3 linked regions of the Ovis aries genome follow. The protein of the gene in region 1 purifies or fractionates together with the protein of each later gene. This does not show direct contact. Links are inferred from orthologs where the notes say so. Each region holds a gene or a part of one and is shown on either strand. Other genes may lie near its edges.

Region 1 (5,357 bases):
GGTCAGCATGGGGCCAAAACCTTACCAGGCCTGTTTTTGTAAGGCCTGCAAGCTAGGAATGGTTTTTCTATTTTTTACATGGTTAAGAAAAAAAAAGAAAAATCAAAAGAATATCACTTTGTGAATAATATGAGATATAAATTTCATAAATCTGACAACATCCATTAACCAAATTTTGTTGGAATACAGCCATGATGATTTATTTAGGTCCTCTTTATGGCTCCGCTTGAGTAACACCTGCAGAGCCGAGGAGGTGTGAGAGACACCTCCAGCGAAATCTACAACGTTTATGCCATCTGGCCCTTTACAGAGGACAAGCAAGTGCTCTCTTAGAAATCAGAAGTCGAGTTCTACTACTGTTCACCTTGGCCTCCCTCAGTTTAGAAAACAAAACCGATACCATTTTCATTCTGCCACATCTTCAACGTTTTCTTGCTGAATGAGAGACCTGAGGGTTCATGTCACAGGCAGGGGTGAAACTGGGGCCTGCCTAGTTGAGCTCACCAGTGGGATGGGACAGAGCTGGCCCGGAAACACTGGTCTCCCTAAAATGTGCCCTCCTCCCCACTATTCCACAAAGCACACAATGGCTCACAGGGTCCCTGCCAGCTCTCTACCATGAGTTTGACGTTTCCCTCTCTTAATTCTGAGAATAAATCAGTCCAGCTAAATGGACGTAGCAAGGGTGAAGCCGGACCTTTTAGAGTCAGGCACTCAAAGTGGGACCCTCCATTGACCAGTTATTATCCATGACCTTGAACCAGTGATGGAGCCCTTGGTTTTCTCATCTAAGAAGATAGCTAAGTACTACTTCCCTCATAGGCTTGTTTGGAGTATTAAATGAGATACATTTCAAATGTCTGGTACCTTCTAATCTTTCTCTCTCCCTTTCCCAGAGATAGTATTTGGAGAATAAACATTACATGAACCTTGTTAGGAAAGTCTTTCAAATTAGCTTAAAGATTATTTTATAAAAAAAATACCCAATCTATCAAAACAATAAAAATAGGTTTAGCATTTCATTGGGTGTTTTCCTCATATATCTTTCAGTTCTTTGAAGCTTTTTCCAAATTATAATTCAAAAATAAAAATGCTGTAATTTTTAGAAATGTTATATTTATGTAATTTTTACAGCAAGTCACACAAAGAACCGAGCTAAACTATGTTCTACCCATGTCCAGTTATGAAGACTAAGATGGTAAAATACACCAGAACCAGAAAATCCTAGTTTATTTAATCTGGCTTCCTTAACATGAAGTTCTTGTTCTTAAAATATTCAGTTTTGGCTGAATTCCAAGACTGACATAAGCCTTCTTCAGGTGTTCTGAAAAGACTGAAGAGAATCAGAACTGGAAACAAGATTGGAATATAAAACCTTCTATGTGATCACAATGCAAGAAACTTATTGTCTGAAAGCACCATTAAATCAAATTTTATGCCCACACTTATTAAAAAAAATGTATATATTCTCAACATTGGTTGTACAGGGTGCTAAAGGTTAATTTCAGTAACATGCTTTTATCTCTAACATTTGCTAGCAGATAGCAAATTGCTTCAGTCACTTGAATCGCAGTGACACTTTCTGAAATCTGTAATAGGCTGAAAAGATTTTTTTTCGTGAATTACTCTAGCAGTCACTTTAATGGGCACACTTTAATGGCCAACCTAACTTAGTTACTAAAACTGCATATCAGCGTTTTACATAATGTTAAATTATCTACTTGCCAGCCCATCGGGGTATATGGAGTCATAAAAAACATACTCTGCTCTTTTTCACCAAAATTCCAACAGAGATATCTCGCAAGTTTAGTGTCAAGTTACAAAAGTTGCTTTTCAAAGTAATTACTTGACAATTCAAATTGGTAAGAGATGGGAAATCAAGCCACTAAACTTCAGGGAAAGGGAGTTGGGAAGATCGTGACATAACATGCAAATTCACACAGATCCACTCTGCGTGCAGCTGGCTGCGTGGCAGAAGTCAGAATTTTTGTACTCTCAAAAGTACACGGAAAAAAATGAGGACATCTTCTAAAACAGGCACAGGTATATATAGAAGGAAAATGTGGGCCAAATCTAACAGAAGAGAAACCAAAACACTGAATAGGGCAGGGCTGACTGGGACAAGTAACTCGCACTGCAGGCGAACAGAAGTTCTTCAAGAGGACCACACGCACCCCTGGATTCCCAGAGCGGGCCGGCGGCCGGGGGGTCAGATTCTCTGCCACAAGCTGCGAGCGAGCCGAGCAGTCACGCAGCGCCGCTCACTGCCCCTAAGGTGGGGCAAGAAGTAAATAAGTAAGATGCTCGATTGCTGCCCAGAAACTGATCGATTTTTTCTACGGGAGCAGGGGGGTGGGGGTGGGAAACAACAGCTTTCCCCCTGCGGTGGCCCCCGACCGCGGAGGCTGGGGCCCTGCATTGTAAAGTCGCACGCACCTGCATTGTAAAATCGGTCCAGCACCGCAGTTTCTCCAAAGTCCAGTTTCCCAAAATGCAGGGTCTCCAGGGCGGCGCCCACCGTCTCGCACGCCTCCCGCAGGCACTGCAGGGCCTCGCTCTCGGCCACCACCAGCTGCCCCTGGCTCGCCTCGTTGATGACATAGGCCACCGTGGTCCGTCGGCCGCCTCCGCCCCCAGAGTTGCCCCGGCACCGGGTGGCGCTGCTCCCAGCGGTGGCACTGGGACACCCGGCGCCGGGAGCGGCGGCACTTTCCACGTTCCAGAAGCTGCCCGGTGGCGGCGGTGGCAGCTGGGTCTCCTCGCCCTCGGCCGCCGTCGCCGCTCCTCCCCTCCGGTAGCTGCCGCCCTCGGCGAAGGGCGGCACGGAGAAAGTGATGCCCTCGCCCGCCTCCGCGCTCATCTCTCCCGGCCGGACTGCCGCGGCGGCGTCTCCCGCCCAGCCGCACCGTCTGGCCAGCCACAGTTCGGGGCTGCTCCGTGCGCGCCTTGCTAAGCAGCTGCCATCCCGCGTTGCGCCTTCCGCGCCGCGCCGCCGCCTCCTCTCCGGCGCCCTCTCCCCCGAAGGGACGCCGCTGCCCGGCGGCGGCTCGCCCCTCCTCGGCGCCTCCGTGGCCGCGCCGCTCGCCCGCTGCAGGGTGTAGAGTACAAGGGGTGGGGAGCCGGGCTGAGCGGGAAGGGACAGGGCTTCCTTTTCTTGGCCGGCGGACAAGTCGGCTCGCGAACCTGCTAGGCGGTGCGGCTCAAGGGCGCCGCTCTCCGGGTGCGGTGCGCCCTGGCCACCCGGGAACGCGGTCCCGGCTCCTTCCGTGCCGGGCACCCTGGGAGGGGCCGGGGAGGGCGCCCTCTGGGTGGGGAGCTACCTGGCCAGCACCTCGCGGGCGGGCAGACTCCCTGGACCGCGTCCCGGAACAGCGGCAGCAGCCGCCGAAGGGATCCGCCTCCTTCCTCGGCGGCAGCTCCCCTTCATCGGCTCTGTTTCCTCCTCCTGCCCCGGCCCCGTTCTCTTCCGATTGCCGCGGCCGCTTCGTCCCCGGCACCAGCCTGGTAGCTCGAGTCTCCCCGCTCCTTGAAGCCGCTCGCCCGGTCCGCCACCGGCTTTTTGCCGCCCACTCGTCGCGGCACCGAAAGTCTGGGCCCGCCCCGGGGGAGGGCGCTGCTGGGAAGCTCGAGTCCGGACGAAACCGACCGCGTCGCGGCTCCCGGACCACGGCCCAGCCCGGAGCACCGCGCGAGGCCAAGGTTCTCCTCCGTCACCCACTGGGCTCCCCACCCAAGACAACCTGGAGTAGGCAAAAGCCCGGAGAGCAGGCGACTATAGGATGGCACAAAAAAAGTCTCTCTTGCGAATACTCGGGTCTTAGCCAGCGCCAGGAGGCACGCGCCACGTTCCCCGTAACCACGGCGCCCTCCTCCGGCCGGTGCCGGCCTAGCACCGCCGTGCGGTCGGGTCCCATGTGCGCGCCGGGAGCAAGAGGGTAGCGTGGGGAGGCCCGCGTGGCGCTAGGCCCGAGGATTTTAACTACGGTCCTGCAGGCGGCCTCAACTGGAGAGTGGTGTATTGGTGACAGTGGCTCTGCGGGAGTGGCAGGCTGAATTTATCGGGTCTGCCCCTGGTACTTTACGTTTTCAAGTTTTCAATAGCTCTGCTGTCGTGAATCGGAGAAGGCGATGGCACCCCACTCCAGTACTCTTGCCTGGAAAATCCCATGGGCGGAGGAGCCTGGTAGGCTGCAGTCCATGGGGTCGCGAAGAGTCGGACACGACTGAGCGACCTCGCTTTTACTTTTCACTTTCATGCATTGGAGAAGGCAATGGCAACCCACCCCAGTGTTCTTGCCTGGAGAATCCCAGGGACGGGGGAGCCTGGTGGGCTGCCGTCTATGGGGTCGCACAGAGTTGGACACGACTTAGCAGCAGCAGCAGCAGCTGTCGTGAATAATTGATTAGCTCCGAGTGCTGAACGGTATAGTATTTGCATTCCCATTTGAGTTTATAAAATTTCCCCCAACGCACCGTATACTTACTTGAGTTAGAAAACCGGTTCTATCCTGGACTTGGCAAATCATCTATCTGCCAGATGAAAGAGGGAAATTAAGCAATTACTTCAATTTTTTTTAATTGCACTAGGGGTGGGGCTGGGGAGCGGGGAATGCCTGGCTTGCTTAAGAGCAATCAAAGAGTATCTACTTACTTGGGAAGTAAAAACATATGTGCAAGTTCTCAGAGAACTTCTCCAGAATGCTATAACTTTAGGAGAATCAGTGGAACCTACAGTGAAATAAAGTAATAGGTTTGGACTTTGCATCTCCAGGAAGCGAGATGATTAAGTTCTATGAAAAAGGTAGAAGAATACTGCAAATTACATGCAAGCTAGGCGGGAAGGGGTGCTTCCCTGCTGGGTCAGTGGTGAAGAATCCATCTGCCAGTGCCTGAGTGGTGGGTTCTGTCCCTGAGTGGGTAAGAAGGAAATGTCAACCCACTCCAGTATTCTTGCCTGAGAAATCCCATGGACAGAGGAGCTTGGCAAGCTACAGTCCATGGGGTTGCAAGTATCAGATGACTAAACAACAGGGGGAAAGGAGGGATAAAATAGTTAAGTAGGAAGGGGTTAAAAGAAGAAAGGAAATAATGAGGGGAAACACCTAGCAACTGAACAATTGTATCTGCACAACTGTATCCTCAATGAAGCCAAGTGACCTTAGCTTTTTCTAAAGATTTGTAAAATAATGGAAGTAAACTTCTGGTAAGGAAATTGCAATCTATGTGATCCACATCTGCTTTTGAACTTGATACCATAGGAAAATAGATATTTAACGAATTGCTGATCATACAGAAGCAAAACATGGGTGGATTACTAATAAATATATATCCTTTAATATTTCCAACACCTTGTCAAA
Region 2 (4,610 bases), on another chromosome or scaffold:
CTCACCTTGGGGTATCAGCAACTCCCACAGGCCCCACCAGCCACCCCGCTGAGGTGAAACCTATCATCCAAATGGACACGGTGGGGCCAGTCAGAAAGGGGTGGAGAGGGCTGAGCAGGAGACTCCCTCTAGAAGGAAATTCGGGGTCTGGGGAGGCCTCATTCCTGATGGAGCAGGACACAGCTAAGGTGCCTGAGCCTGGCTGTTTCCTCTGGGCATGACCTGGGCACCCCACTTACGGCCATGTAGGGTTTGCAGCCAGCATCCATTGTCTTAGCCACAGAATCCACCAAGTAACCACTGATCCCAAAGTCACACATCTTCACGTGGCCCTCCTTGTTGATAAGGACATTGGATGGCTTCACATCTGCCAGAAGTAGGACACGCCTTTCAGCTACTGGTTGTTGGCCCCCACTGCCCAGGTCAGAGCTGGTAGCCACACAGTCAGGAGCCCCAGCCTCCAGCCACAGGTGGGGAGAGAAGTTAGCTCCAGGGCTTCCCCCAGGACCGTGTCTTTGCAGCTTCACAGTTGGGACTCAGCCTCCACTTACCAGTGCAACCTCTGGCTCTGGGGTCCACCCAAATGCAGGGAACCCATCACTAACAGTATGAGCACTGTAAACCACCCAATATCCACCTTGAGGGGTCGGCAGTCTTGGCCAGGAAGCACAAGGCAACAGCTCAAACACGGGAGGCAGGTCTGTGGGAAATCCCAGAGCCCCAGGACTCAAGCTGGACATGGAGTGGGCACAGAGTGAGCTAGGGGGCACAGCGGGGCCGTCCAGCAAGCACACGCACGGGAGACATGTGCATCCCTCCTGCCTTTTACAAGGACATCTGCAGGGGCTCAGAGAGACGCCCAAAGGGGCCACGAAAACCTGCCAATAGCAGTGACCTGGGGACCACTCAGTGGTCAAAGGGGCTTAGCCCAGTGAACTCTGTGTGGAAAAGCAGACCCCTCAGAACACAGAGGGAGGGGACAGGCAGGACACACACAGCCCCACTGAGTCTCAGAATCATTGGCCCAACTGGGAGGCTGAGAACAAGCAAAACCAACCCCCATGAGAAAATCAGTGGAGTCGGGGACTGGGGCGTCACAGGGCAAGAAAGGGAGGGGAGGGTGGGCGTGACCCAGTATAAACGATGATCGGATTCGTGCAGCAGTACACATCCCACCTGCACACTCCTCAACACGTAAACAATACGTCAAGACAAGATGGGCTGGCCTTCCCAGGATGAAGATCAACCCTGTCCGTGCTCTGAGCACCAGGGAACAAAACTGGGACTGGGCCTGGGGGCTGACAGAAATGGCTGAGAGGAGTGGACAGCGGCCTGGACCCAGCGGGCACATTGCGGCCTGTCGCCTCCCAGAGCCTTGGCACTGGTCCCGGCAGGACCATGGGGACGTGTACGTGAGGCCAGGCCCCTCCTCCCCAGCCAGTCCAGGCACTGACCTCTATGGATCACGGACAGCTTGCTGTGCAGATGTTCCAGGGCCCTCACGATCTGGTGTTTGGGATGAGAGGTGGAGAGAGACAGGTCCATCAACAGTGACAGAGCCAGAAGGCTCCCCAGCCAGGGCGGTCTGTCGCCCTCTCCCAGGTCACACCCAGCCCCTCACCACCTGAGGCTCCCGCCCACATCCCAGCCTTTGCTGTAATGTCCTGGCCACCCTGATACTGATACACCTGGTTCCTGCACTGCTCTGAATGGGCCAGGGTCTCAGGTGATGTGACCAAGACCCTGGCGAGTCTGACTTATGAACCCCCAGAATGCTGTCCCTCCCTCCACCAGACTCCTGGGTAGAATCTGGCCCTTCTGCAGCGGGCTTGCATCCACCGCCCCCTCCCCTACCAGCAGTCACTGGGCTACATGCTCAGAGCCACTCCCCACAGGAATCACCCCAAAGATCCTGACTCAACGCCCTGGGCGGGGGGGGTATGTTTACATGTTCACAGCTGCGGTCAGGGATGAGGACCACAGGTACACAGACCCCATTCCCCTTCTGCTTTGGCTGTTGGGTGCTCATGCCCAGGGAGCCGCCTGCCCTAGGACATGCAAGCTCAAGACCCGTGGTTTTCTCCCCTGACCACATGCCTCTGCGAGCTGCCTCCAAGCATCTTCAGGATAAGGAAGCTGTGAACACTAAGTTCTCTTCTGTGGCCTCAAAACTCAGGAACTGCACAGGAAGGCCCAGAGATCCTGGTTCTGCCAAATCGGTGTGGCTCCAGGGCCCTGGGGTCTCCTGAGCAGGCTCTGGTCCAGGGTGGGGGCACCTGGGGCTTCCAAGGGCAACTGCCCAGCTGCAGGGCCACAGCTGGAGGCCACACGGGGGGCCCAGCTCTGCCCAAAACACTACCATTGGGACCCCCCCAACCCCACTTACAGACACAGCGATCTCCCCAAGAATGTCTTCTGGAATCGTCATGCCCTTGTCTAGCACCTTCCGATAGAACTTGTCCAGGGACGTGTCCATGAGCTCCATGCAGATCCACACATCTCCCTGCAGGTAGATAGCCATAGTTCAGCCACATCTGCCCAGGGCTACCTGGCCCAGCATCCTCCCCATGGAGCCAGCCAGCCCCTGACACACCTCCACCCCTCAGCCCTCAGGGGTTCTCTGACCTCCCAGCCCCTCCCCGACAAGGCTCGCCTACACTGCTGGGTCCACGCGGCAGCCTTCCCCGACTGTCACACTGGCTGTCCCCCATCAGACTCCTACTTCCACGGCTCATCCCAGCTCTGACCCTGGCCGATGGGTCCCTTCACCGGCAACATACTGTCCCCACCCCCACACCCCATCCAGGACAGCCTTCTGAGAAGGCTGGGTGCAGCATCCCCTGGGGTAAGCCCGAGCTCCTGGGCTCCCTGCCAGAGGGGAGGCTGGCTGTGTCTCCTCACCTCTCTAAAGAGGGCCCCGTAGAAGGTGACGGTATAGAAACAGTCCACTGTGCGCATGTTGACATCCAGGTCCATGAGCAGGCGCTTCTGCTCCTGAGAGTTCACGGTGGCTCGGATGCGCTGCGGGGGGAGGGGCTGCGGTTAGAGCCCGGGCCGCAGGGGTGCAGCCCCAGGTGCCCCCGGCTCTGATGGCCCTGGGTCGGGGACACTGCTCACCTTCACGGCCATGATGGTGCCACTCTGGGCATGCCGCACCTTCTCCACCACCCCATAGGCACCTCGGCCCAGCTCTGAAATGGTCACCAGGTCATCCGCCTCCACCTCAAAGTTCTTAGGGGACAGAAAGGAGAGAGGGTTCAGAAGGGCCAAGTCAGGCACCAGTGGAGATGCTGGGGCAGCAGAAAGAGAATCACCAGCCAGTCACCTGTGCTCAAGTCTTGCACCAGCCACTTCTGCTGTGTGTCCTGGGGTAAGTCATGTAACCTCTCTGAGCCTCCCCTCACCTTCTCTAAAACAGGCACAGCACCCACATCAGAAGGCTACTACAGGGTGTCAGCACATCAGCCTGGGAAACACTCTCAGCGGTGCTGGGCCCTAAAGAGATGCCCTTTTCCTCTCGCCCCACCCTCTTAGGTGGCCAGACTCACTTATTCATCACCTACAGTGTGTAAGTCCCTGTTTCAGGCTCTGAGGACACAGACAGGACAAAAGAAAGGCCTTGTCTCCCAGGGAGCAGCGGGGCCCTGGTCGCCCACCCTCCCTCTTGACCTGCTGCCAGAGGAAGCAAGCAGGCAGATGAACAAGACTCGTCAGCATGTCCTGTGGGCAGCACACGGCCTCCCAGGGGAACCACTGGCGTCGGGAGGTGCCAGTGAAATGCAGGCCCTTTGGGCAGAGCCAGGGATCTGCACACTGAGCACCGTGACTCTAGCTCCCCAGGGCCCAGGAGGTAGCCACCAGATGGGCCACCTGGTCAGCGTCGGGGAGCCAGCCCCCCTCCACAGCCCAGCTCTGTCTCCACCCACAGACACCTCCCAGGGTCTATTGACACCTACCCTGTCTCCAATGGTGATGAAAGCCCGGGAGTCCAGGTTCCGGGGGAGCCTGCAGGGGAGAGCGGAGGTGTGAGCCCCAGAGAGCTCTGCCCTCTCAAGGGGGTCCCCGCCCTCCCCCACAGTCACCAAGCATCTGCGGGGCAGCACATGGCCTGTCACATGGACATGCCCTCAGAAAGGCAAGGAGAGCTCCGAGAGGACATGTGAGGCACACAGCCCCCGCAGCTGCTTGGAGAAGATGCCGCCCGCACAGGCGGCCTGGCCCCCACAGTGGCCCCTGCAGGAGGCCTTCCAGGAAGCACCAGAGGCCAACTCACGTGGGGCTGGGCGCCGGCGGCTTGGACATGCAGGAGATTCGTAAATCCTTTTTCCTCCTGGACTTTCCTAAAAGGGAGAGAAGGGAGCGTGCAGTCAATCACTGGTCAACCAACATCCCCAGGGACAGAGAGGGACAGGCCCCAAGGGCCCGGCACTGACACAGATGCCAAGGGCCACTGTGGTCAGTGCCAGGATGGGACCCCAAGGCCTCCGGGCACCCACAGGACATGTCCAGCCCAGGCTAGAGGGTCCAAGCCCCGCCGGTCATCCTGAAATAGTCACTCCACGGTCATCTGAGAAAAGACAGCACCCCCAAGGAAGATGCGCCTGCTCCCC
Region 3 (4,610 bases), on another chromosome or scaffold:
GTCCTCAGACTGATGGGGCATTGAGTCTGGGATTGGACTCAAGGTTCAACCTGTCTGGGTCTCTTCCAGCGATGTGGCCGTGGAACTGCCTTTCACCCTAATGCACCCCAAGCCCAAAGAGGAACCCTCACATCGGGAAGGTAAGCAGAATCTGTGGGTTCTTGGGATAGGGTTTCCCTGTCACCCCGCCTCTCACTGAGTCAGCCTTCAGCCCAGGGTCACCCCTCTTCCCCAGTTCACAGGATCTTTTGTGAGGCCCACACTCCTATTTGTATCTGACTCCCCAGTAGACAGAAAGGTCTGGCTCTGTTCTCTGTGGGCTGGGGGTGGTGAGGGTGGTGGGAAGGGCCATGTCAGGAGCCCTTGTCTCGCGCATCCAGGGACAGTTGAATGGTCTGCATGGATAGGATGATATCTGGGCACACCATCCCGGTGATATTTCCAAGTGATACCAGATTGGTCATATTTCATTAAACCTAAGACTGTTTCAGTCAAAAGAGACATTGTAGCACGTACTACAAAGAAAGAAAAATGTCCCCATAATTAAACTATGACATGCCAATGACTGTAAAACAAACCGCAAGTTCAGAGATGTGAAAATGTGAGTAAATAGTTATATTAGAGTTAGTGAGTCAGGCATGCAACAAAGGAATCTCAGTTGTGTTGGAGACATGCCAAAAAGAGCAGGGTCCAGAGATTTTCCCTTCCCCTGGTGCTGCTCCCTGGCCCTCCTTGGCTCTCCCTGGACCCTCCTCCCTGCATTTAAGCTGATTTGAGGTGTTTCTGAGACCAGGGACCAGCCCTGGCTTCCTCACTCCCGCTTTTTCCTTTCCCTCCCCTACCTTAGCTTAGTTGTCCCGGGGTGAGGACCTGTGCCCACCTGCCCCCTCACTCACTCGCCAGTAACCCGTGGGCGGTCATCTGCCCTGTGTTTAGTTCCAGAGCACGAGACGCCAGTAGATACCAATCTCATAGAACTTGACACCAAGTAAGCAGAACCCTGCCTGCAGACATGGGCGGGGTGGGCCTTGGGAGGTGGGCGGGGCTGCCTGGTTATATGCATTTATGCTAATTAACCCCGAGGAGCAGTGGTCTAACCCATCTGCTGAGAGCTGCCTCTGCTCGCCTCTTCAGCAACCCGCTTGCCTGCATGTGACTTGAAGGACCCTCGGTGCCTGTTCCTCTTCCTCCTGCCTTGGTGGGGTCTGTCTTCCTCCCTCGTCCTTGCACGTCCGTCAGTCCGTCAGTCCATTCGTCCATCCACAGCACCTGCTCGGCTGTCACAGGGCTGGTTTGTGGCCCTGGGCTGGGACCCTCCTACTTGGCTGGTGTCCAGCCAGTGGAATCAGGCTGTGGGGTGGGGAAGGTTCTGGGGATCTTCTTGTTTCTGACTCGTGAGGACCAGTATGGATGGCCCTGTGGTCAAAGGCTGTCACCTCACAGGACAGTGGCCAGAGGGGAGGACCTGGGCAAACATGAACCACCTCCAGGTCCAAGCAGCTTTCTCGCTCCAGCTCCAAATCTATGCTTCCTTTGTCCTCTAGGAGATGTGTCGGGTCTTAAGTCAGCCCATGGAGGATACCCCGTGCAGTTGGCTGAATTCTGTGGGGCTGGGGCCTGGAGAGTGGGCCCATGTGGACATGTTTTATTAGTAGAAGGGAGCTCACTGTTCTTAGAGGCAGCCCCTCTGGAACCCCTCTCAGGCACCCTCTTTCTCCACTCATATTTTTTCTGCTCCCCACCCTTATTGGGCTTTGCCTAGCCCCCACCCCAGCCCCCACAGACCCTGTGTATCCAATATCCCTCAGGGTAGAATGTGAGCTGACATTTCCTTGGAGAAAGGGCCTTTGGGGTTTTCTCAGAAAACAGGAATGCTTCCTGAGGGTAGTTCTTGGGTGGGGGCGTGTTCTTGGGGGACTCAGAATATGCTGTGAAACTGCTGTCGGCCTGGCCTCTTTGTGGAAATAAGTTCCTCCTCTGGCCCTAACCCTGCCTCACTCCCCGCCCCCACCCACAATTTGATGTGTGCCTGAACCCCAGCTTCTCAAGAGCTGGGTCGATTTCCAGCCCTTAGCAAACTCAGGCCTCCCTCTGGTATTTCTGCAACTGGCTGGTCCCACTGTCATTGATGGGCATCCAGATGTGCTGGCCTGGCAGGCCTTTCTATCCAAGACCAGTCCCAGAGGCCGGCCTCTGGGTCCTGCTGGGCTGTGCAGGCCCTCCGACCCCTCTGAGTAAACCTCCTCTCCCTGCCCTGCAAACACGCCTGTTTTCCTTGTCTTTCCCACCAGCGATGACGACATTGTGTTTGAGGACTTTGCCCGCCAGAGACTAAAAGGCATGAAGGATGACAAGGAGGAAGAGGAGGATGGTACCGGCTCTCCGCGGCTCAACGACAGATAGACTGGAGCCGCCCTCCCTCCGGGCAGCTCCAGGTCCACTCTCATGCGCTAGGATGCTTGTTCGTCTTCTTCCTGTCCTGACTCCCCCTCCCCTTTGTTCTTCCAGTTTCTACCAGGGGGCCCAGCGGTCTTCCAGGTCACGATGGGAACCCCTGGCCTCAGGATTGGCCCCCATCACCATGCCAACTGGGCCACAGGCAACACCCTCACCCTCTCACCGCATCACTTCTCCATCCCTCCTCTTTTCCTGTTGACCCCTAGACAGGCCAGCACGGCTCTGGCCTTAGAATTTGACTTGGGATGGGGAGCAGAAAGGGGAAGATGGGGCACAAGGGCTTGGCGGGGTGGGGATGGAGGCTCAAGACACGTGAGAGGATGAGGCCACTGTCCCGGGTGATGAATACAGTTCTGGCAGCTAAAACATGACCGCTTTGAAGGCCACCCTCCTCTGGTTGGGAGGGGACAGGCCCATGGATAGATTTTCCACACAGTTTTGCTCGAAGTTCGGACCCACCAAACACCTGTCTTCTTCCTCCCTCGTCCCTGCCCCCGTCCCTCTGTGACTGACAGTGACCTTGGTGAAGGTTTGTAGACCCCAGGAATGGAGCAAAGCAGTTGGGCTGACTTTCTTACCTGCAGTTACCTAGTCTAAGGCAAGTCGTGTGAAGTAGCCCGAGTCTATGTCAGTATCATCAGGATGTAATATCCTAGCTGCCTGTATCTTGCCTGTGTGTCATCCGCAGATATGCACAGAGTGCGACAGAGAGAAGGGAGGGGCCTTCGGAAAGCACCAAGGTCTTGAGGAGGTGTCCTGAAGGGTGACTATGAGATGGGGGTGGGGTGAGAAGATGAGAGTCTGCCCAGCTCCCTTCCTTAAGAGGGATCAGCGATCTGGTGGGAAGCAAGACTGAAGGGCCAGAACGATTGAGGCCACCAATGTCTTCCTGCCCTTGCAGGTCTCCAGGGCTGGACTGGAAGAGAGCCCCTGAGACCACCGTGCCCACAGTCAAAGGGGGTCCTTCCATAGAAGGTAGCAAGGTCCACTGAGTTGTCCTTACCTAAAAGGAAGAGGGACTCTTTTGTTTCCTTGGGGAGCTGATGACCACCCCCCGCCAATACACACACACTCACACACACACACACACACAGTGATTCCCACTGTCATGGGTGTACAGTACCCATGGGCTGATGTTGGTGTGATTAGGACATGGGGCATACTTCCAGGGCAACGGGGCAGGCAGACGATGAGGCAGAAAGTGTTAAAAGTTAACTGTTTTTCTCTGACCTTTGATGCTCACTGCTGTGTGACTTTGGGCAAGTTCCTTTCCGTCTCTGGGCCTCAGTACTTCACCTAGAAAACCAAGGGGTTCGAGCAGATGATCACAAGGGGCCCTCCCAGCTCTGCCTCCAAGAATTTGTGAGCATTAGAGTTTCTGGTCTGGTGGGTGGAGCCAGAACCACTGATTCTGGTCTGTCTGCCACCAGTGAGGATCACTGAACCCGAGGGGTGGTGGGGCAATAGACAGCACCTAGCACCACCACCCTACACCCACTCCAGGCCGAAGAAGGGCCCTTCTAAGGTCCCTAGACTGGGCCAGGGTGAAGGGTTGCCTGATGTCAAGCTGTGGCTGTAGTTAGCATGAGCCGCTTGGCCCTAGGGACCAAGTATTACAGAAGGTATTGTATTTGCTTGTATTTGCTGAGGCGTGGCAGGGGGAGGGGAGGAGAGCTTGCGATAGACACGGTACTACTTCACACCCTCTTTGGATGTCCTGAAGTTTGCCTCATATCCAAGCAGATGTATTGATTAGCAGGGCAAGGGGATCTCTTCCTCCTTTCTGTCTGTGTCCCATACTTGTGAAAAGGCAGATGGCCAAGTTTTATTATATAAGCTGGATCTCAGCTCTTCAGTTCAGCCCCTCCTGGGATGGACTTTGCAACCCTTTTCCATGGTGAAATTACCCAGTTCATATGCCTGGCACTGCACCCCCGCCCTTCCCTGCTGAATCTCACTCCAGGGACCCCCACACTAGGTCAGAAACAAGCCAGCTTGGGACAGTCGCACTCCCCCAGTCAATCCTAGGGTCCCAGCTGCATCCAGTCCCTCCCAGAGCTTGCTGGACAGTTTGTACCTCATTGGGCAGCTGGAGAGTTAATGAACTGTTGGAACAAGGTGTGGCAAGCATACGCTCTTCAGGGTTGCCTTCT

What was found.
Region 2: the proteins of MAP3K5 (region 1) and MAP2K3 purify together in Homo sapiens (co-immunoprecipitation; 4 studies listed by BioGRID and IntAct, with this or other methods). This does not show direct contact. The link is inferred for Ovis aries from reciprocal best matches to the Homo sapiens genes MAP3K5 and MAP2K3.
Region 3: the proteins of MAP3K5 (region 1) and ARRB1 purify together in Homo sapiens (affinity purification with western blotting; 3 studies listed by BioGRID and IntAct, with this or other methods). This does not show direct contact. The link is inferred for Ovis aries from reciprocal best matches to the Homo sapiens genes MAP3K5 and ARRB1.

Annotation. Positions count from the first base shown.
Region 1 is NC_056061.1:62,061,218-62,066,574, forward strand, and holds the start of MAP3K5 (mitogen-activated protein kinase kinase kinase 5), read right to left. Parts: upstream 3,107-5,357; 5' UTR 2,861-3,106; coding exon 2,437-2,860; exon of another isoform or gene 1-2,436. UniProt on the Homo sapiens protein: Serine/threonine kinase which acts as an essential component of the MAP kinase signal transduction pathway. Plays an important role in the cascades of cellular responses evoked by changes in the environment.
Region 2 is NC_056064.1:35,006,258-35,010,867, reverse strand, and holds part of MAP2K3 (dual specificity mitogen-activated protein kinase kinase 3), read right to left. Parts: intron 4,341-4,610; coding exon 4,274-4,340; intron 4,006-4,273; coding exon 3,957-4,005; intron 3,232-3,956; coding exon 3,118-3,231; intron 3,022-3,117; coding exon 2,902-3,021; intron 2,504-2,901; coding exon 2,387-2,503; intron 1,507-2,386; coding exon 1,455-1,506; intron 368-1,454; coding exon 240-367; intron 1-239. UniProt on the Homo sapiens protein: Dual specificity kinase. Is activated by cytokines and environmental stress in vivo. Catalyzes the concomitant phosphorylation of a threonine and a tyrosine residue in the MAP kinase p38.
Region 3 is NC_056068.1:53,204,910-53,209,519, reverse strand, and holds part of ARRB1 (beta-arrestin-1), read left to right. Parts: intron 1-69; coding exon 70-140; intron 141-936; coding exon 937-988; intron 989-2,291; coding exon 2,292-2,403; 3' UTR 2,404-4,610. UniProt on the Homo sapiens protein: Functions in regulating agonist-mediated G-protein coupled receptor (GPCR) signaling by mediating both receptor desensitization and resensitization processes.